Linked DNA regions of Oryzias latipes. The protein of the gene in region 1 interacts with the protein of each later gene in a pairwise test. Links are inferred from orthologs where the notes say so. Each region holds a gene or a part of one and is shown on either strand. Other genes may lie near its edges.

Region 1 (4,402 bases):
CTCCAAAGAGAACCTCAACATCTTCATCTTTGCTCTTCTTGTCAGAGTCTCTCAACCAGGGGTGTCAGAATCCACACCTTTCTTTTGACCAAATGTGTTTTGTTGTTTTACTGTGTTATTTTATCCTGTTATGTTTAATTCTTTCTGCACCATGAGTGAGAGGGAGGGAGAGGAGGATGAGGTTATTTAGCAGCACTAGTACAAGAGTGCAGTCTAAGAACTGAAGTTACAGTCAGACTCATGATAATTAAAGGCATGGTATATATTGTAAATTCACACCATGTCATTCATTTTAATGTTATAGAAATGAGAAAATCTGCAGCCTCTAACTTAGACATATGAGAGTTCAAGAAGTACCATAAATTGAGATGGAAAAACATTTAATTGATTTGGAGTAATATGACATTTAGTTAGATAACTATGTAAATTTGAGTTCTAAAAACAATTAGAGTTTTATAGACGTAAGAAATTAGGTTGAATAAATTTAATTCCATCACTTGTTACCATTTGAATCAATTTTTTTAAGTTCGATAAGTTTTATTTATATACGTCACAATGTCATTTTAAATAAGATCAGAAACTTGTGCGTTTATTTCTCCGTTCTTTTTCTCCAAGCAGAAACTCTCTTTTGCTGATGCAGCCGTGTTACTTTTTGATGGGCGTATAATCTTCATACGCCGTCATTAAAATCTCAGACTCCGTCTCACTGAAGTATAGCGCTCTCTTTTGTTCTCCACGCGTTTCCATGGTGACTTGGGATATCGGCGATCCATTGAGAATGTCTTTATGTACCTGCTGTGCACGTGCGGTAACCCAGGGTTACCCAGTCGAGCGTAATTACGCCAACTCATATCCGGTCTTTTGGAACCGCCATACCCAGAGTAAGCAAGTTCAGGCGGATTTCAGCCAGAGTTCAGGCTTAAAGTCAGGGTAGTTTAAACATGCTTCCTGGAATACCCCCCTGGACTCTGACAACCATGCTCTAGTCCAGAGGTGGGCACTGAGGGCCGCAGTCCTGCATGTTTTCCAGCATACCCTGCTCTGGCATGTTCTGATTGGCTGGACACACCTGAACCAGGTAATCAGCCATGAGTAGGGCAAGAGTATCTGGAAATCATGCAGACACACCGGCCCTCGTGGCCTGGAATTGCCCACCCCTGCTCTAGTCTAAACCAACACTAAGGCTGTTCTTTCCATTGTCTTCTGCACCTTTCCTTTCATTCTTGCTGAAACTTTTTTGTCACACATCACATCTGAATCCTTCCTCAATCTGTTGCTTTGGACTGCTGACCTCTAAATACTTCAAGTCGTCCATCTTCTTCACCCCGGCTCCCTGTAATCTCACCAGAATCCTCCTCATTGTCCTTCTGAGATTGACCTTCACTCCTCTTCTTTCCAGAACAAGCCTACACCTCTCTAGATGTTCCTTCACTACAGAACACAGTGTCATCTGAAAACATCACAGTCCACAGAGATTCTTGTCTAAACCTCGTCTGTCAGTCTGTCCATCATCACATCAAACAATGAAGAGTTCAAGCTGATCCATTGTCCAGTCCCACCTCCACCTTGAAGTCTTCGGTCACACCTACAGCACACCTCACCAACCGCTCTACAGCCAATCTGGTAGAACAGTTCTGTCTGTGGTTCCGTTTTTGGATTTGGTTATGTTTTTCATATTGTATACAGTCACAACCTCCAGCATTTACAGACTTGGGATTCGCCACATGAAAGCATTGAATTGTGCCCCCTTGTGGTTAAATTCAAATTTAAGAAAGAATACAATTAGGATATTTAAGAAAAGAATAAGTGACCTTACCCAGTAATGCTTAGTGGTTTATTTTCGACTTCTTTCAATTTCTTTTTCATCTCAACTGTTCTTGATGGTCTGTGGACGTATTTTCTTTTGCCCGTACATTCATAGGTCCAGTGTCCCAACTCCAAACACTTTTGACATCGTACATGCTGTTTGTTTGCCTCCCTGTAGAAAAAAAAAAAAAGAGGTTTCAGATTCAACACTACAAAAGGAGTACGTTAAATGGGCCAAATCCATAAATACCTGGAAATACTTGATAGTTTTTCACAAGAAAATGTTTGTAATTGATCTTAGTGACGGAGGTTGAACCTCTGAATTTTTCTTTTTAAATATGAAGATGATATATATTGAGGCAGAGTAGCTTCCAAGTTCACAATTAGATTTAATTTGATTTTTTCCACTTTAAAAAAGGCCACTACAAATCCATTTGGTTCATAAAACAATTTTGGCATAAGTAAACCAAACCAAACTAAAAGAAAAATTCAATATTTTATATTACAGTGGATACTGATAAAATCTCATATTTTGAAAAGGATTTATAAAAGTCCTGAAAATTTTGTTTTTTCCTGCGTCAGATTCTTACTAAACCCAATTTTATTGAATTAATTGATTACTACCCAAGTAAGTGAACATAACACGGTCGGTGAGGCCATCAACGATTCACGAACTACTGAATTCTATCCCAACTTTTATGCAGTAAGCTCGTTCTTTATTAGATTGTACACAAACAAAATGTAGTTTTTCCGCCCCTTAATGTCTACTAAAATCCTCAGGAACGTGTGCGGTTGTATCGATAATTAGTTTGGGGCGTTAATGGCGGAAAACAAGTGTGAACAGCGAAAGAAGAAGCGCAGCATCTTAACTGTTTTTAAACAGTGAAATAATCGTTATTTACCGCTTCTATAGGATATTGCACCCAACAAAAAAGTGTAATTTATGTTTATCGATATGTTGTCTTCACATAAATTTGGTATGGAATCAGTAACGTTGTGATAACGAAAACATACTCACGCTTGTCTCCTGGCAATTATTCTGTGCATAGGAGTAGCCATGTTAAAATCTGATGCAACTTCTTCTGTGGTGTTTCTTCACAACGAGCTTCCGGAAAAGTTAATGTATTCAGCGCCCCCAGTGGTAAAAACGGATAAAGCTTTTTAAGGTCATGTTCATTTTTTCCCACTATTTTTGAAATTTTCATAACAAAAATTCTTTATAGTTTCCTTATTAATAAATGCGTTAAATTAATTTAATGCATTTATTAAGTAGAAATAATATTCAGTGGTTCTAATAATTCAACACAGTTACAACATCAATAGTACAAATAAGGAAATAAGCAAACATACAAACTACCTAGATGATGAGTTAAAGTTTGTACTTTTTCAGATTTAGTGTTAAAAATAGTAGATAAACTGAAAAATCATGTAAAAATGTATTTTCTTTTTTAGCAGCAGCAAGATTGTACATTCAACATTTTGATATGGATTTTAACTAGGCCTGCACAATATACCGCAAATTTATCGTTATCGCGACATCAAACTGTGCAATATGCATACCGCAAAAGACGGCAAAATCGCAATAAATGGTTACCTTGACCCTTGTGCTATCCTAAGCACTTTAACATTGGGAGTGGGGTCATCTAGACCCACTAAACAGTGCTCTGAACCTTTTTTCTTCTAGGATTTGTGATCTTCACTGGTGTCCATGGATTACATGAAATCTTTCCACCTTTATCCACCTTTGTCATGGTAGGAAGAACACGTCACTGTAAGGGGGGGTCATCTAAGATAGCACAAGGGTTAAATGTGCTAAAACAAACTCATGGCAGCTTGAAATATTGAATAAATGAAATAAATCCCTTTATGCATTTAACCAATCGGAAGGACTCGTTTACGTTGTTGATCAATCAAATGAGCCCTTTTATGTTTGATGTTTGCCTCCTATGTCGACAAGGGTCATTTGGAGTATAATTTTTATGCTGTTGCATTGAAATGGAAATGATGTTTTTGGTTGGTTTGATATTTGTTTATATACTGCAAATTATATCGTTATCGCAATATTAATCACCAATATCGCATATCGCGAGTTTTCCTCATATCGTGCAGCCCTAATTTTAACAAATTAATATATTTGAATTAGATGAAACAGATACGTTAAAACCTAATTGTCTGCCAATTTCAATATGATGCCAGTATTACCAAGTTAATTAATTGATACACATTCTTTGTACTATTGTAGTTGGGTTGAAGTACTGCAGTTTTGCTTGCATGTTTTGTTATGTTTTTGTACTTGTTTATGTTATTATTACAGTTGTTTTAATCTCATACTCATTATCATCATCATTTAGCTAATTTCTGACAAAAATAAATACAATGCATATTCTTATTAAAGTTGCAATTCGTTTGTTTATTTTTTTTTTATTTCAAATGTTTTTACCATGTATGTTAACAAAGAAAAAAATAAAACAAAAAAGCTTTCTCATAGGACTGTCTTACGAAAAAATTATTATTTGCTCTGAATAAAAAATTTAAAAAGCAAAATCTATGCCTATTGTAGACAAGATCATTTTCATTATTTAGGCTAACTTTGAAA
Region 2 (4,477 bases), on another chromosome or scaffold:
ACTGGACCAAATGGTTCTTTTAGAGGTTGCAGACCCCTGATTTAGCTTTTGTGTTAATAACATAATTCAAAGTATACATACACACAGTATATGCTCTCCATAAATATTTACAATGAATCCATATCAGACATCTTGTCCACACATGTCAAATGAAACTATAATTGATATTTCCAAAATAATATGAACTCAATTATTGGTGGAAAATCTGAATTTGAATTATTCTGATCCAAATCTAGGCCCATCAATCCTCCCTGTGATTATTTCCAGGATTAAATGAATAAACTCCAGGCTAGTCTTAAAAGCAAATAACTATAAAAAGAGCCAAATCAGCCAATCTTTTGAACGTCCCTTCCAAGTGAACTGATTCAAAAGATTCAGCTCCCTAAAAAGAGCCATAAATCCCAAATGTGAGGTAGAGAAAATTTTCCTTAAAAAAAGTGTGTGTGTGTGTGTGTGGGTGTGTGTGTGTGTGTGTGGGGGGGGGGTTGATTGAACAGCGGAAGAAAAAGGTGGGTTTGTGGCGAGTACTTGAAAGTCATTTAGGAAGAACGCTGTACTTCAAAGTCCTTATTTGTGATTTTGCATATGAGAAGGCTCGACATTTGGCTTTGAGTAAACAAAGTTGAGCAAGTTAAAAGGTTTGAAAAAGAAGCTTGACTTACTAATTTGCTATTCATTCACGAGTTAAGTTTTATTTAAATGATAAATCACATATGGTTTGATGGTGCTTTCATTTAGCTGACTTTTTTTTAATCTCCACTGATAATATTGTTTTTTTCATGAAGAAGTTTATTTCTTATTTAAGAATCAGTTTTGCTGTGAATATATGAAACACAAGAAATTCTATTGTATTCGGAGTTCTCACTTCATAACTGTCTCTCACCAAATTGTTTTACTAAATATATAAAAACAAACAAAAAAACAAACAAACAAAAAGATCATGAAAATTGTGTAAACCTGATAAAAGTGAATTCAGTTTGGCTGATACAGTCTTGTTATTATATCATGGGCACAATGACTCATTGTTGTGTTTTGATGACCAAATGGAAAGCAGACAGTAATGGAAAAAAATAACTGCCAGTTATTTGTGGCATAGTGGTACAATTTCATACAAGTTTTATTTAAAAATTTGGTTAATACTGAATTTAAAAAGGGGTTTGGTTATTGTATTTCATTAATAGCACGATATTTTATTATTAGGTCTATAAAACTCATTTTGATGCAAAATTATGAAAGTCCGTCTGTAAATACTGTTTTGTTCAATAAAAAATCCTGCTATGAGCTTGAGCAAAAGTTAATTGTTAAACTTTTCTTTAAATAAAAAGAATTACAGTGGATCCATGATGTAATGGACATTTTCAGATAAAATCATTTCCATTATGGTCGTATTTCCTTTGGACACACCCTGTGGTGACAAACTCCGTCTTTTGTGATTGTGACATTGAAAGTATTAAATGAGCTTTCAACGTGGGCACAATACTGTGCATTCTTGATCGGAGGTGGGCGTGGCTTCCAGGCGCAGTCTCAGTTAACTGCAGAGCTCAACGCGGAAGACAACAAGAAGCTCCGGGTTTCTAAGTGACGTCGAACAAGCAGAGGCAAGTTACTCAGGTAAGCTTTTGGAACCTGGCATTTTGTTATAGGCAGTGCGACAGATGTTGACAGTAGATAATTCGGAAATATCTCGTGTTTTAAATGCAGGATATTCGGTAAGAGGCCGAACTTTGCGTGAATTTCTTAGCCGAAGAAAAATTCCTCGAGGGGTTCGTTTTGCGACATCTAGGCCTGCTTTGTGGCAGGCGGAGAAATAATGCAGGTCCAGTGTAGATTTAATAGATGTATTAAAATGGACTTAAAATAAACAAATAACTGCGTCAAGATACTTTAAACATCAATGTTAGCTGTTTTACTTTCTTTTTGTTGTTTTGTGTGTCAGTGATGTTTAGATTTCAGTTTTTATAGACTTTTGGGCAACTTCTCAAGCTTGTTTAATGATCTCATTCTACCAATCTTGTGTTGTGGTTAAATAATTCTATTATTTGTGTTTATTTCTTCCATTGATGTAAAATATAAGATTGCAGTCTTATCATCATGGCTTTCAGAGATTTGCTCAGTTGAGCTCCCACTATTCACTTGTCCAACAGCTGTAGATTACCCTTTATTTCCCAACTGTTACGTTTAACACAAACTGGTTTTTGAAAGATAAAAATATGAAGAATTTCTTGTTGAAAATTGTTGGTTCCCTGGATTCGAACATACAGATCATGTTTCCACACTGAGGTGTGTCCGACCTGAGGTGTGTCAAAATCACATGATGCAAATGTTGACGTTTTTTGTTTGTTTTACAGATGACTATTTTATGTGAGAACCAAACTGTCAAGAAAACAAAACAAAACCCTGCTGAATATAAACTATATCTAATCCCCACACACAAATCTGTGAAGAATCAATGGATCAAAAAATTTGGAGTTTTATTGCATATATAATAAGAAAATATATAATGAGATACTTAAAATATGATTCATATTATTACATTTCTATTCTTCCTCACTTTCATGTACATCCTAAAAGGTAATTTACAAATGTGTGTCAATTATTCTGGTTTTAAAACAAAATGCTGCAATCACATGTGACGTTTTGAGGGGGGGGGGGGGGGGGGGTCCCTCCACAACAAGTAGCATTTCCCTTGGTCTCCAACTGCGGTGCCGTTGGCTCTGTTGCAAATTTTTGTCAAAAACCGAGCTAAAATGAACTTCTCAAGACTTGTTTCTATTGTTCAAAAGATGTTGTTAAATGTAATTTATAGAATATTCAACTGTTTTTAACGGTAGGTTGGACTTGATTGAACAAAAGTAACTAAACTGAAATGGGAAATTATTTACTTCTAGGTTTTAGTTTTAATTTTTATATGATTGTAATGTTGACTTACTGCCCTTTTTAATCATATTTTTATATTGATTTTCCTTTCTGCTTGTTTGTCAGGATTCTATTGTGACACCTGATGTGTGTTTGTCATTAGGCTCTACACCAAAACCATGTGGCCAAATCAAGGTGGGATATCAAAATTCTTTATAAATGTTTGTATTACCTAATGCAATGTCAGCCACAAAATGCTTTATTTTGGATCAGGTCCTCCCCATTCAGTGCCTCCACCAAACCCAGCCTTTGCCCCTGGCTACAACCCTGCATATCCTCCTGTGCCTCCAGCAGGAGTCTTTCCTCCACAACCAGTATACCCAGCTGGTCAGTACCCAGCTGGTCAGTACCCAGCTGGTCAGTACCCAGCTGGTCAGTACCCAGCTGGTCAGTACCCAGCTGGTCAGTACCCAGCTGGTGGGAATGTCGCCATGGGACCACATGGAGCTCCAGGAATGATGCCATATGGAGCACCTGGAGCTCACCCGTATCCCATGGCTCCAGGTGGAGTTCCAGGAGTCCCACATGCTGGTGTTCATCCAGGTCACTACCCACACTCTCCAAAAGGGGGGCACCACAAAGGGGGGCACCACAAAGGGCATCATCATGGAGGAGCCATGCCAATGGGTGGAGTAGTAGCGGGTGGGGTTGCAGGAATGGGAATTGGGCTGGTTGGACATAAAGCCAATAAGAAGATGAAGAAAAAGATGAAGAAGGCTCATAAACAAAAGCATGGACACAAACATGGCAAGGTGAGGTTGTGCTTGGGTGAAAGAATGCTAGTTAATGTTTGTCTTGTATGGCGCTTCATCTCTGCCATAAAGTGAAAGGGCGTAAAGACAACTGAGCGGGTGTATTCGGAAACTGAGTGAGCAAACCTTACAACCGCGCGGGCGCAATTCTAACCGAGCGACTCCGTATTTTAAAACTGCACGCCTGCAATCCTAAATGAGCGGTGATCCCTCGCGGTCAATTTTCCTTTGCGCCCCTGCTTGGATTTACACGCTCAGTGTTAAGGCCTGTTCACACCGGGACGAATTTCGCCGGCGATTTTCGCCGACGTTTAACGCCTCGTGACTAAACAAAGGGCACCAACGAGAGTGTGCACACCGACGCGAAAAAACGCCACGCGTTAAAGCGTCAAAAAAAAAAAACGCCTTGGGTTCGTTTTTTTTTTCGACGCGTCGCGTCGAAATCTACTCGACCAATGAGAATGGCGCTTTTGCTCACGTGTCTGGAGCTTCTGAAGTTACAGTAAAACACAACTTGGGGGCGCTCAAACACAAAACTGCCTTGCTGAGCACACATACCAGCGAAGAAGATAGACGCCAAGTAGCGTCTACACAGCCGCGAAGCAATAATGACGGACATTCTAAAATATCCCCGAACCAAGCACCAGTTGGAGCTACTGGTGCTTGAAATATTCATGTTTTCTTTGTTTGATTCTGACAAGCGCGTAAATACTTGCTCTCTTCTTTTGAGTGAAAAGCGACTTTAAGAAGCGTAAAGTTGCGCAGCGCCACCTTGTGTACAGGAGTATTTCTGTTTACATTAAGCGCCA

The links.
Region 2: the proteins of zcchc10 (region 1) and prr13 interact in binary tests that used the Homo sapiens proteins (3 or more experiments, as listed by UniProt). The two-hybrid records come from large-scale screens. The link is inferred for Oryzias latipes from reciprocal best matches to the Homo sapiens genes ZCCHC10 and PRR13.

What each region holds. Positions count from the first base shown.
Region 1 is NC_019872.2:6,666,194-6,670,595, forward strand, and holds the start of zcchc10 (zinc finger CCHC domain-containing protein 10), read right to left. Parts: upstream 2,944-4,402; 5' UTR 2,866-2,943; coding exon 2,825-2,865; intron 1,979-2,824; coding exon 1,817-1,978; intron 1-1,816.
Region 2 is NC_019863.2:10,423,441-10,427,917, reverse strand, and holds the start of prr13 (proline-rich protein 13), read left to right. Parts: upstream 1-1,486; 5' UTR 1,487-1,611; intron 1,612-2,982; 5' UTR 2,983-3,035; coding exon 3,036-3,051; intron 3,052-3,129; coding exon 3,130-3,668; intron 3,669-4,477. UniProt on the Homo sapiens protein: Negatively regulates TSP1 expression at the level of transcription. This down-regulation was shown to reduce taxane-induced apoptosis.